Linked DNA regions of Saccharomyces cerevisiae S288C. The gene in region 2 interacts genetically with the main gene of each other region. Each region holds a gene or a part of one and is shown on either strand. Other genes may lie near its edges.

Region 1 (9,400 bases), on a different chromosome or scaffold from region 2:
CTTGATTTAACGAAATGGACATACCCAGACAAGCTATTATGAGACCAAAAGGCTTGTTAATCCAAAAACTTTCCACCAGCTCGTCATTTTGTAGTGATGAGAACAGGTCTGGAAAGAAATTTTGGAAGATCTTATTTTCTACCAAGTGGCTTACACCCATTCTGAAGAAAGTTAGAATATCTCTTGAGCTAATAAAATCTAATGAATATTCTTGCAAAATTTTTACACTGATGGAGGACTCCAACCGGCTTTTAACCTGCTTAAAGCGGCTTTTCCCTTTCTTTAAACTAGAGGACTCCTTCCCAATCACACAACGTTGCTGCTTATCCATTTTTTCAACATTACTACTATGATAGTGAATATTGATAAGGCCGCTGTTGACCTTAATCATCGAATTAACGAGTGTTTCCATTTTGATATCTCTGGGTGAAGTCGAATCAACGTCACCAACGCCAAGTGATACAGGGATATCAGCCTTATCGCCTGTCATTGACGCGTAACTGGATAAGAGGAAGGTTCTGTGGACAGTCCTGATGTGTCGCTGTAAGAGATCGCGTCTAACAAAAGAGTGTTTACAGACTTGGCACTGGAAAGGCTTCACGCCCGCATGAGACCTTTCATGCCTTATCTTGTGCTCGGATCTCGAGAAAGGCTTCAAACAAAAGGAACATATATATTTTTTTTGACCCGCAGCCATAGCAGTGATAATGCAAATACAATTACTGTATATCAACAATTGTCTTCTCCCGAGAGAAGGTTTTAAATAAAAGCGACAAGTAAAGCTCTTAAGCCATGCCAACTGGCATGAAGAAGAACCGAAAAAGAAGAAATAGAAAGCAGAAAAATGTAAAACTAAACTTTATAAGTACTTTGAAGATGCGTTCTATATAAATATGTGGGGTTAAGTGAACATGACTCGAAATCTATAATGCAGCGATTACGATAAGTATCCACATTAAACGTCAATTATTTTGCGTTGTAAGCATATGCGCGGGGGAGGGGGCGCACCCTTGAAGTGCAGTCTGTCTATCATATTACTGAACCATTTCCTTCGCTTGACTTACATCATTGGCAACACATGCCTGGATCGCTTTAGCGGCTACCTTTAGTCCATATTTTCTTCTATTACCAGATCCCATCATCCCCCTTTGTCCGATTGACGACCATTTTGCCGCGGACGATCGGAGGGGATTGCCAACGCGGGGTAGCCGACTCGGGGCGCCGAGAGCGGGGATCAGTCATCGTCGCAGTAAGCGGGTACGGACCCTGTCACGTAAGACGATGCCGATGCCTGCGCCTGCGCCTGCTCGTATGACGGCACTGTCAGTACCACCGAATCGGCGCCGAGCGGCTGTAGCGCCGGCATGAGATGATCGTTGGTGCTCTCGTGATAATTCGGTGGCGGTTGTGGCAGCGCGAGGTGCGCCGTTGTAGTGGAGTTCAGTTCAACGCCTGGAGTCAGACCCTGCGCGGGGTAAGTGGTTAAAAAAAGGGGTACTAATTCGCCAGGGCGGAAGTGGATCTTGCCATCGTGTTTATCAAACAACACTAGACGGCCTTTCATAGGCAGATGCGGCGAAATAAATAATAACATAGGTAATTGCGCCTTGATCTCCAGGTTCTTGTATTCGCCATCCACTTGACGTTGTAAAAGAATACGTACCTGCAATTTGTGCATGACACGGATTAGGTTGTCTTGCAGACAGCAGTCTTGAGTTATTTGTTTGAGGTTATCTGGAATTGTAAAGGGACAATCGACGTCAAGTTTGTCCGTCAGCGGGCCGAAGTCCGCTAGATGAGTAATTTTCATGACGGCTATTTCATCATCATAAATTTGTGCGCTGCTGTCCTTCATTGCGTAATATTGGATTAGCGCCATTTCTATCCTATCCAAACGAATGTTCTTTTCGAAGGGGAAAATCTTAATCTTCACGGGGGTTGTGCTACCAATAGGAACAGCCCTACTCGGGATGGACGTTTCGTATTGCAACTTGTCACGCCAAGTATTACCCACGCTAATTTCTTCTTGCATGGCAAGATTGTCCATCGATAATGTACGAAGGATTCTGAGATACTTGAACTTTTTGATGATAATTTTATTCTTCGTTCTCATACCATTGCCGCTCGTACTTGTGCTACCGATTGGACCGTGAGGAGAAGTATGAACGCTCAGATCAGTATCCCATAACTGACGTCCATCTATAATGGCTTCAAAGGAATACAGTATGCTACCACTTTGTAGTCCCTCGATTGTTTCGCACACTTCTGGGGGGAGCATTGTATTGAAGGGTAGTTCGTAGTTGCCTCTTTTCATTAGGAATAAGTACGAACTTCCAGACCCGTCTCTGTTACTATAACTATGGCTATTGTTATTGAGGGTGTTACTACTACTGCTTCTACTACGGGCGTTTTCTCTTAAACCCTCGAAAGGGGTTCCTGTAACACCATTTTCTGGTAGCTCTAGTATTTTTCTGTGGGAAGAATGGGTCTTTCTTCGAATTATTTTGTTGAAAACAGGGCTCGAAAGTGATCTCTTGCTTAGAAATATTGCGTTGCCGCTGGTGTCCATATCTTGGTTGCTTGTACTGCGACCGCTACTACTGTTATGTTGATTTTCCGCATTTTCCCCACCGACTAAAACATCCCCTTTTGAAGAAACCAATAAGTTGTCCCAATAGCATTCGAAAATCTTACGCTTTTCCTTAACTAGACTTGCCAAACTACTGCTATTCTTCTTATATCGGCCAACTTGCAAAAACTCCAATTTGAATCTTCCTACCAATCTCAGCGAAATTTTCTTCACTACGATCTCATTTTTCACTGAAATCACTAAGTTTCCTGATAAAGGTATAGACGACAGTTCCAACGGTGACCCTTGGATCAAAATTATGTCCTTGTACGGGGAGTTTATTCTAATATCAAAATAACTTATTCTCTCTCTTTCCTTCTGCTCTGAATGCCCACCGCTGCTAGATAGCGAACTAAGTGAAAACATGGTCTTGCTTCACCCTATTCTCGCCGAGAGCTGTACAAGATATTTTTTACTTTTGCCATCTTATACTCATCCTAATCATCTGTTTCATTTTCCTTCTATTTCTTTTTTTTTTTTTTTTTTTTTTTTTTTTTTCAGTTTTCGAAGAAACTGCCTTTTTAGAATTGTAAAAGACGAAGTGAAGTATTCAGGAGTATATTATTACATACATACAAAGCAAGACAAAGAAACATTTTTAGATCTAACATTTTACTTCAATTGTTTTTGTATTCCTTATAATAAGAAAGACCTGCTGTTTAATGTGGGAGTAATCCGTCCCCTACTCGATCTTCAATAAATTGTCATCTTGTATCTAAAGGAGCGCTCCAGTACTCCAATTAAGCACCACCTAGTGCGTCTAGTGTCGATTTTTTTTTCACGCATACGTTTGTATGTTTCTTAAATTTCCCATGATTTTTTGTTGCCAATGTCATATCTACAAACTCTATACGAAAGTAAACGCACTTCATCTTTTTTGCCCTAAAACGGCAATATTTAGACATATCATAAGGGGCCCAAGGGAGAATCGTTAATTTTAAACTTTTCTTTGCTCTTGAATGAAAAAGTAAATAAATAAAACTAAATCAAAAAAAAGAACGCCACGTTTGAATTTTAAAGCAAAAATTTTGTTGATTTAGTAATGATATAAATAAAACCAAGTCGTTGGTAAGAATTTGGTTAGGTTATGAATAGTAATGAACTGGATCTAAGAAATAAATATTTTTATGAGATATTCGGTAAGAAAAGAAAATCAGATACTTCAACCCCTACTCAGTTGTTCTCCGGCTCCAAAGTTCAGACAAACATCAATGAAATTTCTATCACTAACGATGAGGATGAAGATAGTACTGAAGATGAAAATAAGGCTTCATTGAAGGATTATACACTAGGGCACGACACCGGTGCACGGTATAGGATAGCACCGGACTGTTCTTCCCACCAATTAAAGGCATCTCCTGTCCTACATATTTCAACAAACCTTAATTCAAGTCCACAATCCTTCACAGGCGATCAGATTTCACCTACTAATAAAAAAATTTCAATAAATGATTCGACCAGACAAGATAAAGGTAACAGTTGCACTACCACTTCATCACCTTCTCAAAAAAGATCGAATGTTTTGCTTCCTCACGTAAGAAAACATTCATCTCCTTCACTATTATCATTTTCCAAAAACAGTGGCAGTCATATGGGGGATCCAAACCAGCTATCTACGCCTCCAACTCCCAAAAGTGCAGGTCACACGATGGAGTTACACAGTTCATTCAATGGAAAACATAGTTCTTCTAGCACCTCTTCTTTATTTGCATTAGAGTCACTGAAAACCCAAAATAGACGCTCATCAAACTCTTCCAATCATTCTAGTCAATATCGACGCCATACTAATCAACACCAACGTCATCATTCAAGGTCCAAATCAAGTCCTGTCTCTCTGACGGAAATATCCATGATCAAAGGCACGCCTTTGGTTTATCCTGCACTTTTATCACTAATAGCAATTAAATTCAAACAGACCATCAAATTGAGCACGCATAAAAAGATGGGGTTACTTTACAGAGATTCCTTTACAGGAAAACAAGCAATTGATACTTTATGCTTGATCATAGGAAGCTTAGATCGTAATTTGGGCATGTTGATCGGAAAATCGCTGGAAGCTCAAAAATTGTTCCATGACGTACTTTATGACCATGGCGTAAGAGATTCTGTACTGGAGATTTACGAGTTATCTTCAGAATCAATTTTTATGGCACATCAGTCGCAGAGTTCTACTTCAATTGCCAACACATTTTCTTCATCATCTTCTTCAGTTAATTCGCTCCGTACTAAAACTGAAATATATGGTGTTTTTGTCCCATTGACACATTGTTATTCCTCTACATGCTCTCTGGAAAAACTTTGCTACTCTATTTCTTGCCCCAATCGTTTGCAACAACAGGCTAATTTACATTTAAAATTAGGTGGTGGTCTTAAGAGAAATATTTCGTTAGCACTCGATAAGGAGGATGATGAACGAATTTCCTGGACAAATTCTGTACCAAAGAGCGTATGGGAATCATTATCCAAACAACAAATCAAAAGGCAGGAGGCAATATATGAGTTGTTTACTACAGAAAAGAAGTTTGTAAAATCTTTGGAAATCATCCGAGATACTTTCATGAAGAAATTATTAGAAACGAATATTATTCCATCTGATGTAAGGATAAATTTTGTAAAGCACGTTTTCGCACATATCAATGAAATATATTCTGTCAATAGAGAATTTTTGAAGGCTTTAGCACAAAGGCAATCATTAAGCCCAATTTGTCCTGGAATTGCAGATATATTTTTGCAGTATCTTCCTTTCTTTGATCCTTTTCTGTCATACATAGCATCAAGACCATACGCAAAGTATCTAATTGAAACCCAAAGATCAGTTAATCCCAATTTTGCTCGTTTTGACGATGAAGTGTCTAATTCTTCCCTGAGGCATGGGATCGATTCATTCCTATCTCAGGGTGTTTCAAGACCTGGTAGATATTCACTGTTGGTAAGAGAAATAATACACTTCTCGGACCCAGTAACAGACAAAGATGATCTACAAATGCTAATGAAAGTCCAAGATCTTTTAAAGGATCTAATGAAAAGGATTGATAGAGCAAGCGGTGCAGCACAAGATCGTTATGACGTTAAAGTGTTAAAGCAGAAAATTCTATTCAAAAATGAATACGTTAATCTGGGTTTGAATAACGAAAAAAGGAAAATCAAGCATGAAGGTTTACTCTCAAGGAAGGACGTGAACAAAACAGATGCGTCCTTTTCAGGAGACATTCAATTTTACCTACTCGACAATATGCTATTATTCTTGAAATCAAAAGCTGTAAACAAGTGGCACCAACACACTGTATTTCAGAGACCAATTCCACTCCCTTTACTGTTTATTTGTCCGGCTGAGGATATGCCACCCATAAAAAGATATGTGACAGAAAACCCAAATTGCTCAGCGGGTGTGCTCTTACCCCAATATCAAACGAGCAATCCCAAGAATGCTATTGTATTCGCCTATTACGGTACGAAACAACAATATCAAGTTACTTTGTACGCGCCGCAGCCGGCCGGATTACAGACATTAATAGAAAAGGTGAAACAAGAGCAAAAAAGGCTCCTTGATGAAACTAAACATATTACTTTTAAGCAAATGGTAGGTCAATTCTTTCACTCATACATAAATACTAATCGCGTCAACGATGTCCTAATCTGTCATGCTGGTAAAATTTTATTGGTTGCAACAAATATGGGACTCTTTGTTCTTAATTATGCTACATCGATCAATCAAAAACCAGTGCACCTTCTGCACAAAATATCAATTTCACAGATCTCTGTATTGGAAGAATATAAAGTTATGATTCTTCTAATTGACAAAAAACTGTACGGCTGTCCTTTAGACGTAATCGACGATGCAGAAAATGCAGATTTTCTTTTCAGAAAAAATTCTAAAGTGTTATTTAAATATGTTGCAATGTTCAAAGACGGTTTCTGTAATGGTAAAAGAATCATTATGATTGCACATCATTTTTTGCACGCCGTACAATTATTGATTGTTAATCCTTTGATATTTGATTTTAATAGCGGTAATTTTAAAAAAAACCTAAAGGCAGGCTTGGTAGATTTTAGCGTTGATTCTGAACCTCTGTCCTTTTCTTTTTTGGAGAATAAGATCTGCATTGGTTGTAAAAAAAATATCAAAATATTAAACGTACCGGAAGTGTGTGATAAAAATGGATTTAAAATGAGGGAGCTTTTAAATCTACATGATAACAAAGTTTTAGCGAACATGTATAAAGAGACGTTCAAAGTAGTTTCCATGTTTCCGATAAAAAATTCAACTTTTGCATGTTTTCCAGAACTCTGCTTTTTTCTCAATAAGCAAGGGAAGAGGGAGGAGACAAAGGGATGTTTTCATTGGGAGGGGGAACCAGAACAGTTCGCGTGTTCCTACCCTTATATTGTGGCAATTAATAGTAACTTTATTGAAATTAGACATATAGAAAATGGAGAACTTGTCCGCTGTGTACTTGGAAACAAGATACGTATGTTAAAATCATATGCCAAGAAGATCTTATATTGTTATGAGGATCCTCAAGGATTTGAAATTATCGAACTGTTAAATTTTTGAGTTGACCGCCCATATTAATACCTTAAAACTTATTTCTTGAACCTATACATCTAAATTTAAGTAATATTATTTTATTTGTATAACCATATGTAGTTTACCTGAAATATATGGGTGCCATTAAGAAAATATAATACAATGGACAAGAATTTTGTCCTAGAAAATAAAGTCTTGAAAGTATATTGTCCTTTCCTTTGGAATATTATGTCACTAGCAAGCATCGAAAATTGATCCAGAGTGAAAATTAATTTTTTCGAGATTAAACTGTGAATTCAAAAGTTTGATTTTAATTGTTTCCTCACTCAACTTGGTACTGAAGTCTTGATTAGCTGTTAGAGAAGATAATTCTGACCGTATTGAAGATGTCGAATTTACTGAAAGCAACTGAAGTAAAATATCGATTACTTCAATCTTGTTTTTACTGCTTATGTAATTATTCCAAATTGAATCCGAGATAGGAATATGAATATCAAATGTCTCTTCCATGGGATTTAGGCACCATTCCCCCGAGTTAGAGTCGTTTTCCTCAGATAACTCATGTTTTGTAAAGTGAGATCCATCGAAGCTAATATCATTATCATTTAAGTAGTCATGGTATGCATTAGGCAGCTCATGCGCAATTCTGTTGACATAGCGTAATAGATCATCCCGAATGATTTGGACAAGTAATGAATCTTCTGTTAGTGGTGCGGTTAACTTGGTGTTACATAAAAGCTCTACGTCCCGTGATTCTTTCATAAAAATGGCCTCGTAGTCAGAAAGAAGATTATTACCGGAATTCCGACCGCTCTCCCCACCACTATTAGAGGAACGAAAATTAGTTATATTGATAAAGTTTTTAAGATACCTTAGAACAATTTTGGTCATGTTATGAACTATTTTATTTACCGATGTTGTGCCAAAGATTTCATTTAGAAGGCTTTTACTTTGGAAGATTGATGGATACAGGAAAGCACCAATCAAGTTTACATCATCAAGTAAATAAAGGTCTTTAACTTTTAGAAGCCTTGCTAGGATTTTTTCAAAGGGCTTTTTAGATTTGGTGAATTTGAAGCTTCGTATAATCTCTGTCAAATATAACTCAAACTTAATGATAAAAACCAAGGTATGGGTAAATTTCAATGGAGCGGAAGAAGCAAAGTACTCAATTGATTGCTCGAAAGTTCTTAACGTCTCTTCTACCGTGTTTATTAGACGAAAATCGGATTCACTAAGTGATTCATTTTCTAAATGAGAGTTGATAGACTTGAAGAAAGGAACTAAGTTTGCAAATTTTTCTAAGATACTCTTCAAAGCTGAAAATCTATCGCAGTTACAGGAAAGGATTGAAGTAAGTTCATTGCAGTTAGGTTGTGTATAATTTTGGCAGTATAATAGGAAATCCGATTTTAGGGAGTCGTTTAAGTTAACTTCTTCTATCAAACAGCATATTTTGCCGAGAATAGTAGATGATAAATCAATATGGGAAAAATCTATTAATGAGTCTAACAAAGAGCCTCCTGAATGATTTTCTTTGGCCACAGAAAAGGAAGACAGCATTGATTCAGTAGGAACATTAAACAACGGCTGTAAAAAACAATGAAGTAATTCAGATACTATGCAAGTATGGTACTTTATCTCCCTCACACTCCCGCTATGGAAAGTAAAATTATGACTGTTTCTATTCTCTAGTACCATTGTATAATGGCTTTGAGGCAAAGTTATAGAAATCACCGATTTTTGTAAGCCAGGGTATTTCGAATACAAATTGTTGAGCTGTTCCTGCCAGACACTAATATCTATATCCGTTGTTTTACGTACAAAAATAGATAATGGTAAACCCTTCGAAACTTTGTTGGTATTATCGAACAGTTGCAAAGAAAATAATGATCTTTTTCCAGCCAGTTCTGTAAAATTTACAGAAATAAGATGGGATAAGTCCAAGTTAGACAATTGTGCCCGAATTTCCCTAGAATATTTCAAGTAAAGAGGTTGATTTGATTCCTTACTATCGGATAAATGGATAGTAAAGGGTAATTGTGTATCATTCCTTGATATAGACCTTCTGATCAACTCATCAATTGATTTTGACAACCCTATAATTGACTCCTCTATTATATTGGTAGTTAAAGGAGGGATCCTATGAAATTTTGATAAAAGAGATTTAAAGGACACATTCTCAAAGAAGTTCAGCGGTAAATTTTCTGAGGCTATGACTATGGCTACTAATTGGGAAATAG
Region 2 (8,898 bases):
ACTTCGGCTTCAAAATTTGATACAGGTTAATTTTGAAGGCAACATTTAGGTTCGGCCTTATTTAAAAAAACCTTCAGGTACGCGTTCAAGATCCCATTTTAAAGGTATAGGCAGATTGCACTATTTTACCGGCAAATGTGCGAATATCGAAACTGGAAGATGTTTTCAAGAAAATTGATTTAAGATCCATTTGTCGTGTTTAGAGTTCTCATTGTTCTGGTCAATGATTTCAAACTCAAAAGGCACAAGAAACTTACAAAATTTGTTTCTTATGAACATTACGCCATGTTCTTTGCGAGCATGTGCTATACAGTCTTGCTAGAAAATGGCCCTATAATTAGAAAGCTCAAAAAATAACCCAATGCTGCATCGATTTTTGGAGAAAGGGGGTCAATCATCATCTATCTTCATAAATAACGAGTTGCAGAAAAATTGGAAACTGGTTGATTTTGAAAAGTTTTCATTTTTCTGGCAACAAATTATAGCTACAAAAAAAGAAGTTATGGCGCATAAGATGCATCAATATATGGTGTGACCAGATTGGACGTAACTAGTACTCATGTTATTATTCATATCCTTCATTTTTCCTTCTTTTCTTCTCCTTCTCGAACAGTAACTTCAGATTGAAAGACGTGAGGATGCTTTAGAATGCACATTAAAATTAATATACTACTGGCCTCTTGTGTTTGTCATTGGCTTCTATTTTCAATAAAACATCCAGACAACCCTGCTGTTAATTTTGGAAAAAAAATTTCGCCGATTCTAATCATGTGACTCCTTTTCCCCAGGCAATACCGGAGAAAGCGTTCTATCTCAAACTATATAATTTGCGCTGCTCGTCTCCAAGCCCATGCTAGTGTTTACTTTCGGTTGTAAAAGGTAACTAGAAGTTTTAACGCAAGCATTGTATTATATTTTCCCACAATTGCTCTTAAGGACCTTTTTTTTTCTTGCGTGATCCTGCACTATTGAAAAGTCTTTATCAAAAATAGATGAAACTTTTTCAGGGTTCAACATTTAGAGGCTTTTCTCATATTCTTTACTCAGTTGCCTGCGAAGACCCTTCTGCCCGCTGCGCATTTTCTTAGAAAATCAAAAAAATTGCCTTTTCATCTTTTACCTTCCGAGTTGAATATGTTGACTATTTGCAAACAGGCGTATGATTGTCGTATATAACAGGGCACTTTCGGCAGTGAATCAATAGGAGGCGTATAAGAAAAGCCAATTAGTACCTATATATATATATATATATATATATATATATATATATTCCTTTATTATAATTCCTATCAGCGATTTTTGCATCACACCCAAGAAAAATCTATAATAGAGACACAAAAAAATGAACGTAACTGAAAATGCTCTATTGTTTAAGTGCGGTAGCAAGGGCTATATTAATCAAACCTATACGCCGACAGAAATTTATAATTGTGGGGTAGCTGAAGGAAAGAAAACTGCTAAAGAAAAGAACCCAACTTATTCAATTTTTTATGATACATTTCTCACTGGGCAGCCTGCTGAAAGTCCTGAAACGTTTACGTGTGGTTCGCATGGCTTCACAAATGCGAGTTATGTGGCAAGCGACTTTTATGCATGTGGTTTTCTGCAAGGGAAAGGTACAGAAACCAATGCGGGAATACATAATACAAGGCCTTCTCATTCTCTCGCCAAATTTACCATACTGTTCATGCTAGTGTTGTATACAATTGTCTAATTCTCAAGGTATGACACTTTGGATTGGTGGTCGCAGTAGCCACCATATAATTTTTTATCGTTTCTACATATAATACGAGACAGTCAGACAGAACTTTGGGTCGCCTGAGAAGAAAGACTATAAAAATGTAACCCGTCAGTAGGACTCATCTTAAAACAGTGGGTAATTTACTAAGGAGGCTGGAAAAACTGCGATAATCGGCTTATAGTACATATATATAGAATAATCATTAATCGAGCCTTTACCGCGAAATTCATGGATTTCTCAAAAACAAAGGTGCAATTACATGTTAAGCACCGAATTTCTATGCGAAACAGGTCCGTCTCATCAGTCATAGCTTTCCAAGTATATAAAACTTGAACGCAAAAGTGCGTCATCGACGCCTTTTTTTGCGCAAGGATTGTTACTATTCATTTAATGAACTCTGATGTCTTAATAAGCCAATGGTATCCATAAGTGAAGGTGAAGTCTACTGTGTTACATTAGCAAGTCAGAACTCCTATACGATACAGTATACTGCATTATGGGCACTAAAATAATTTAGATTATAGAAAATATCGATACTATGCTTCCACTTCTCACGAAGCGGCCATGTTTTAAATGAAGTACGTTAACGCTAACACAAGGCTTGACAACTTTCATGAGCGTCAAATAGTCTACGTGTGGGCTCACTTTTTCAGATTTCTTCTTGGCTTTTGTGAGATGTATAATTAACAATAATCATAAAATCGCTACATAAAACAAAGCATAAAAAATTACAGATTTCCTGTTCAAAAATCAAATCGGTCCAGTTCAGCTATTGTTCTGCCGTTGTTCATGCTCAGAAAATTGGACCATGGTGTCATCTAACTTTAGTTGGTCCCATTAAGCTCTCTTCTGTATATCATGTTTGCCATATTGTCATATCATCTGCTTAGTATTAAACCGTTGTGGAAAACAAGAAAATTGCGAATTACTAGTATAGAAAATGCATTCTAAGTCGCCTGTGATTCCAATAGCAAAGAAATTGATCTTAATGGAAGTAGGAAATAGCTGTGGCAAAGAGACAGGATACTAAGATTGGTTTAAGGCGAGGTCATACTTAGCTATTTCCTTCACCAACATTGGTTTTCGAACAGTCAAGAGATGAAAACGCAAAAAAGTGCACTATAAAGTAAATACTCAAACGTTCCCAAAACAAAACGAGAAGAAGCGATAGGCACCTCAAAACTGAAATTATGGGCAAACAATATAACCCGTAAAAGATCACTTTACGACCAGAACATAATCAACATGGGTGGCCCCCATGTTGTACTCAGTTAGCTTTTTGAGCTAGCAAATATATCAAGAAGCCCGCATGTGCTACTTACGTTTGAATTACTTCTCGTTGTAACGCACTTTTCTACAACGTACCTCACTAGTAAATATAACTTAATGCTTGCAGGTTAGCCCATCGCTACAACACCTCCCCACAAAGTATTTACTTCAAGAAATCGATCTTGGCGAGTATATCCTTATCTTTATGTAAGTATCTTTTTCGTCTTCAAAGTATGCCGGGTATTGATGGGCACGGAAGATGTAAACAAAATGGAAAACAAATAAGAACAGAATCTGAAACGTCATTTGAGAATTTAAAATATGTAAATCATTCCTCTCGAGCCAACCAAGGCTGTTCTTGCTAGAAACCAGCAATTGGGCTTCTCATTCAAAACAGTATCCGTCTTTGCCTTAACATTGTTATTTGGCCTTTATCCCAGATATACGCAACCGTATTTATTCAAATCCAAAGAAAAAAAGAGCAGACAAATTATCAAACAACAAGTACCGGAGGTGAGCAATGATTCAAAATTCTGCTGGTTATCGATCGCTGAATACTGCATCTCCGATGACCGTGCAGGTGAAGAATCAGAAGAAAATATGCGCCCGTTGTAACAAGTTAGTTATACCCGATAGCCAACGAACTAAAACAACTTTAAAGGCTCTCGGTAAATATTATCATGAAAGTTGTTTTACCTGCCAAGACTGTCAGAAACCTTTAAAACCGAAGTACTTCCCATATCAAGTAGACAAGACAAGTGAATCTATATTGTTATGCCAATACGATTATTTTAGAAGACATAATTTGTTATGTCATGTATGTGATACCCCATTGCGTGGATTATATTATACCGCATTCGGTTACAGATACGACGAAGAGCATTTTTCTTGTACAATATGTGCTACTCCTTGTGGGGTTAAAAAATGCTTCATGTACGGAAACCAATTGTATTGCAAGTACCACTTTCTCAAGTATTTTTCGAAACGTTGCAAAGGGTGCGAGTTCCCAATATCGGATCAATATATCGAGTTTCCTAAAGGTGAAGAAATACATTGTTGGCATCCGGAATGTTATGGAATTCATAAATATTGGCATGTAAATTTAGCAGCAGAAACTGTTGGTTTGCAGTACCTTCCCAAGCTGGAATATAACCCAAATTCCGGAGACAAAGATATAAACCCAACTGCCTACGAGTTAGATAAACAAATGCAGGCGTTTAACTTTATTCTATCTAAAACGTGGTCGGTTTTATATCGTTTTGAGGAAGAGGCAGCTTCTTGCATTTCTGATATGTTTCAATATTTGACAAGCAATGATCAGTTAAAGGGCATAGAGTCTACGGGTCTGTTGGTACTAAAAATCGACTGTCTTTTCCGGGGACTGGATACTTTAAACCTCTCGACGAACAAAAGTATGCCAGTTAACAGTGATCAAGAATGCATTGAAAACAACGCAATGGCGGCCAGTAAATACAGCAAGTTTCCCAAAAATCTGTCCACAAAAATTATGATATATTTACAACTCTTAAGAAAGTTAGGGACAGAAAACAAAAACGAAACTATCACAATTTCATCTTTTATGTCTGTTATTACTGGATTAGCCCATTTTCTAAAACTGTTAACAAGATTTGGGCTATATACGGCTCTAGAAAACAATAAGTTGACTCATTCTGTTAATCCATTGTTGAGGTTTTTAAGAGAAGTAGAGAAAAATGAGCTTTTTGAAAATAACCCGTTTCAGTATATAAAGACTCCTGTTAACGCCACAGATAGTTGCGCTGGATGCAATAAATACATACAGGAGGAATGCATTCAATTTTATGAGCACCGGTGGCATATTGCTTGTTTTACTTGTTCTTCATGCCATAAGAATATAAATCCGAGGAGTTTGACGGATCCCACCTTTAATAAAGAGAAAAAAAAGATACTATGTTCTCACTGCTCAATTGATGATCCGGCCTCTGTGCCGGGTTTCAAATTTGTTACTAAGCTAGCACAACTAATTTTTCTTCTAAAAATTGCCCTAGTCAAATCAAGAACTGTAATGTTGAAATCGAAAGCATCTAACAAGGTAGGCAGAAACTCTTTACAGAGTACTATGCTAAAGGAACAAACTTACATTAGGACACTGAATGATATTAAAAGATTGAGATCTAGAAGAGAAAGTGTTCGGGTCACTCATAACAAACAACAAGCTAGAAAATCAGTGATACTGGAAACTGCAGAGACAGATTTAAATGACCCGACAAAACAAGGAGATAGTAAAAATCTTGTGATTCAAACAGATGACCCATCATCGAGCCAACAAGTGAGCACACGTGAAAATGTTTTCAGTAATACTAAGACGTTGACACTAGATGATATTTCACGTATTGTTGCCGCTGAACAAGCAAGGGAGCTAAGACCTAACGCTTTTGCACACTTTAAAAAACTAAAAGAAACCGATGACGAAACTTCGAATGTTGTTCCCAAGAAAAGCGGAGTTTATTACTCTGAATTAAGTACGATGGAACTCTCGATGATAAGGGCTATCAGTTTGTCACTGCTAGCTGGTAAACAACTGATATCGAAGACTGATCCTAACTATACTAGCTTAGTCTCAATGGTCTTCTCGAATGAAAAGCAAGTCACAGGTAGCTTTTGGAACAGAATGAAAATCATGATGAGCATGGAGCCTAAAAAGCCCATCACTAAGACTGTTTTTGGTGCTCCTTTAGATGTGTTGTGCGAGAAATGGGGTGTTGATTCCGATTTAGGTGTGGGGCCAGTGAAGATTAGGATCCCCATAATTATTGACGAGCTAATATCATCTTTGAGGCAAATGGATATGTCAGTAGAAGGTATTTTCAGGAAAAATGGAAATATCAGAAGACTGAGAGAACTAACTGCTAACATCGACAGTAATCCAACAGAAGCTCCAGACTTCTCGAAAGAAAATGCAATCCAATTATCTGCTCTTTTGAAGAAATTTATCAGAGAGCTTCCCCAACCGATTTTATCGACAGACTTATATGAACTATGGATTAAGGCCGCGAAAATTGATTTAGAGGATGAGAAACAGCGTGTTATATTGCTAATATATTCCTTATTACCCACTTACAATCGCAATTTACTGGAGGCACTTTTGTCATTTTTGCATTGGACGTCCTCATTCTCTTACATTGAGAATGAAATGGGATCAAAAATGGACATTCACAATTTATCCACAGTCATAACACCTAATATTTTATATTTGCGACATAAAGAAATTTCCAATGATAACGTCCCTGACGAACCAGAATCAGGTTTAGTTGATTCATTCGCTCAAAACAAGGGAGAAAATTACTTTTTGGCTATTGAGATAGTTGATTACCTGATTACTCACAATGAAGAAATGGCAATGGTTCCGAAATTTTTAATGAATCTTTTAAAAGATGTGCAGTTACAAAAATTAGATAACTACGAATCAATCAACCATTTTATTTCCACCGTTATGCAAAGTAAAACAATCGATTATTCCGAATGTGACATAAAAACTCCTGTCACAGTCAAAGATTCGACCACAACGGTCATACAAGGTGAAATAAACAAATAATAGGCAGAAACTGTAAGTTTCCCCTCATTTTCCTTTTTTTCTTCTCCTTCCCCTCAGATTTCGAGGTTTGTCGTTCTTATTAGAGTTCTTTGCTTTTTTCTTTGCCTATTTCAATAAAATCTTACCAGTATGCTATGGAAATGGACATTATTTTATTATTATACAACATAGTATATTCTGACTAAAATGGAATTAGAAATTGTAACATTAGTATGTACTTATAATCATTTGTATCATTGTATTACTCGCCTTTTGATGTAAATTTTGTTTATATCTCAGAACATCTCCAACAGCAGATCAGAAGTTACATTGTTCTTGTAAGTGCTTAAGAAGTCTGTTAGCAAATTGAAATCTTTCAGAAGAATATTCCACCAAAATTTCGGAAAAGCAATACCAGCGGTAAAATATCTGCCATGCTCTATATTATGTGACTTTATTTTAGGTGCACCCCCCACCAGTAACTTATTCTCTAAATAATAATTAATGACACCATTGAATATATTAGTTCTAAATAAAAAAAAAAAAGCTAAGAAAAGAAATATTTAAACAACGCTTGCAAATCATACTCAAGAGGATGCTTTACTTCAGCAATATCATGATTGTTCAAAAACTCATTCATTGCGACCTTTCTTCTACTTTTGAAATCTAACTGTTTACCAAAAACCTTAAGGTTCAAATCATTAGCAAATTTTGTGAGAAGTGTAAGCTCACATCTAAGTTGAATGACAATTGTTGGTACAATTTTTAAGAAGGTTTTTAATGGGATATCCAACACAATTAATAAATTTTTGATTAGATTTTGCGATTGCACATAGGTAAGGTCTGTCAGAATATCAAGACCCAAGGAGTCGTACTTTTCCTTCGTTATATGTGGAAAAGATTTTCCAACAGTTTCAAAATTAAGTTCGGTAGAAGGATCACCATATAGTTTTTTTAAATTCAGCTTCTCTTGGAATACATCTTCTTTTAGTGATAGAATTGTTTCTTCGAGTTTTAATATTTCACTTTGTTTTCCAGCTAACTCGTCAGTAATTTTCTTATGTGTGTTTTCTGACTCTTGAATTTGAGTGCTCCATCTTGAAGCAATCAAAGCCTGATTCTGAAGTTTCTCAACAATTTCCTGGTGTTCATTCATGTAATCGTTCAATTTATCTTCGGCATTTTTCTGAATTTTTTCACTTAGTATTAATTTTTCTTTTAACTCGCTCTTCAGTTTTTGAAAGTTTTCTTCCTTGAGGTTCAGGATATCATGCCATCTCCTTTTTTCCAAACGAAATTGTTGTTCTTTTGTTAACGCCTCTTTTTGAAGATATTTTATTTTGTGACTGTGCTGCTGTTGCATAAAATGTAATCTTTCATTAATCAATTTAAAGACAGAAATGATTTTTTCAAGACGTATACGGTCATTCTTTTCCAAAAGTTCTATCTTTCCTTTTAATTGTTTGTATTGCTCCATATTTTCAAGATTTTTGATATCTTGAAAATCCGGATAAAGCTTGGCAAAACCGTTTTGAAACATCGAAGGGGAATGGCCACATTTCATTTCTTCTAGTATGAATTTACCAAGGTCTTTCTCAAAAAGAGAAAGATTTTGCATATAGCTGTAAACATCATTTAACCTTTTCTCGTAAAACGAACCATTATCATGTAATTTTTTATTTTCATCTTGAGAAAGTTGCAAATTGCTTTTCAGTATTTCAACTTCAGATCTTAATTTTACTATAGAGTTATTCGATTCGTTAATATCTTTTAGAAATTTATCATTTTCTTGCTGCAAGTTTAGGATTTGTTTTTGCTTCCTGTATAGTTCCGAAACTAAAATATTTCTTTGAGAAAAAGCTTTACATTTAGTTTTGGCACTAGTCACTTCATTCTTCTCCTTCTTGCTAGCGTTTTTGTTTTGAAAGTCTGTAATTTTTTCTTCTCTAATTTTTTTAATTTCTTTGCGAAACCGGTCCTGAACAATGTTGAGCCTTTTTGATGCAGCTTTTCTTTCGTTGTGGAATTCCTTCTGCAAGTCTTCTATTCTTTGAAGTTTAGCATCATTCATGCTATTAAGTTCTTCTAGTTCTTGAATCCTGTCATCCTTCTCTTCTAGTTTTTGTCTTAGTGCTTTGATCTCTTCATTTTGGGACTGGAGCTCATCTAATACCTTGGGTAAACTATTTTCTTTAGAAATACTTCCTCCATATGATGAAGAAGATAGCCTAATTTCTCCTAATTTCATATATTCGGACTGTTCTTCATCTGGAGTTTTAGATGAGCGAAATACGTTCTCTAGATGCGCAACCTCTATATTCTCCTCCAGACTCTC

What was found. Genes that interact genetically often act in the same process or in processes that back each other up.
Region 1: of LRG1 (region 2) and ROM1, a mutation in one rescues a mutant of the other (synthetic rescue), as found in Saccharomyces cerevisiae (2 studies listed by BioGRID).

What each region holds. Positions count from the first base shown.
Region 1 is NC_001139.9:624,090-633,489, forward strand, and holds ROM1 (Rho family guanine nucleotide exchange factor ROM1), read left to right. Parts: upstream 1-3,716; coding exon 3,717-7,184; downstream 7,185-9,400. Other genes in the region: YGR067C (uncharacterized protein), read right to left, coding at 1-697; ART5 (Art5p), read right to left, coding at 1,235-2,995; ENV11 (Env11p), read right to left, coding at 7,392-9,400. UniProt on the Saccharomyces cerevisiae protein: Stimulates the exchange of RHO1 GDP-bound form into GTP-bound form.
Region 2 is NC_001136.10:19,293-28,190, forward strand, and holds LRG1 (GTPase-activating protein LRG1), read left to right. Parts: upstream 1-3,530; coding exon 3,531-6,584; downstream 6,585-8,898. Other genes in the region: YDL242W (uncharacterized protein), read left to right, coding at 1-20; YDL241W (uncharacterized protein), read left to right, coding at 1,343-1,714; ADY3 (Ady3p), read right to left, coding at 7,111-8,898. UniProt on the Saccharomyces cerevisiae protein: Acts in signal transduction. Activates CDC42, RHO1 and RHO2. Negatively regulates 1,3-beta-glucan synthesis. May be responsible for the down-regulation of CDC42 during mating.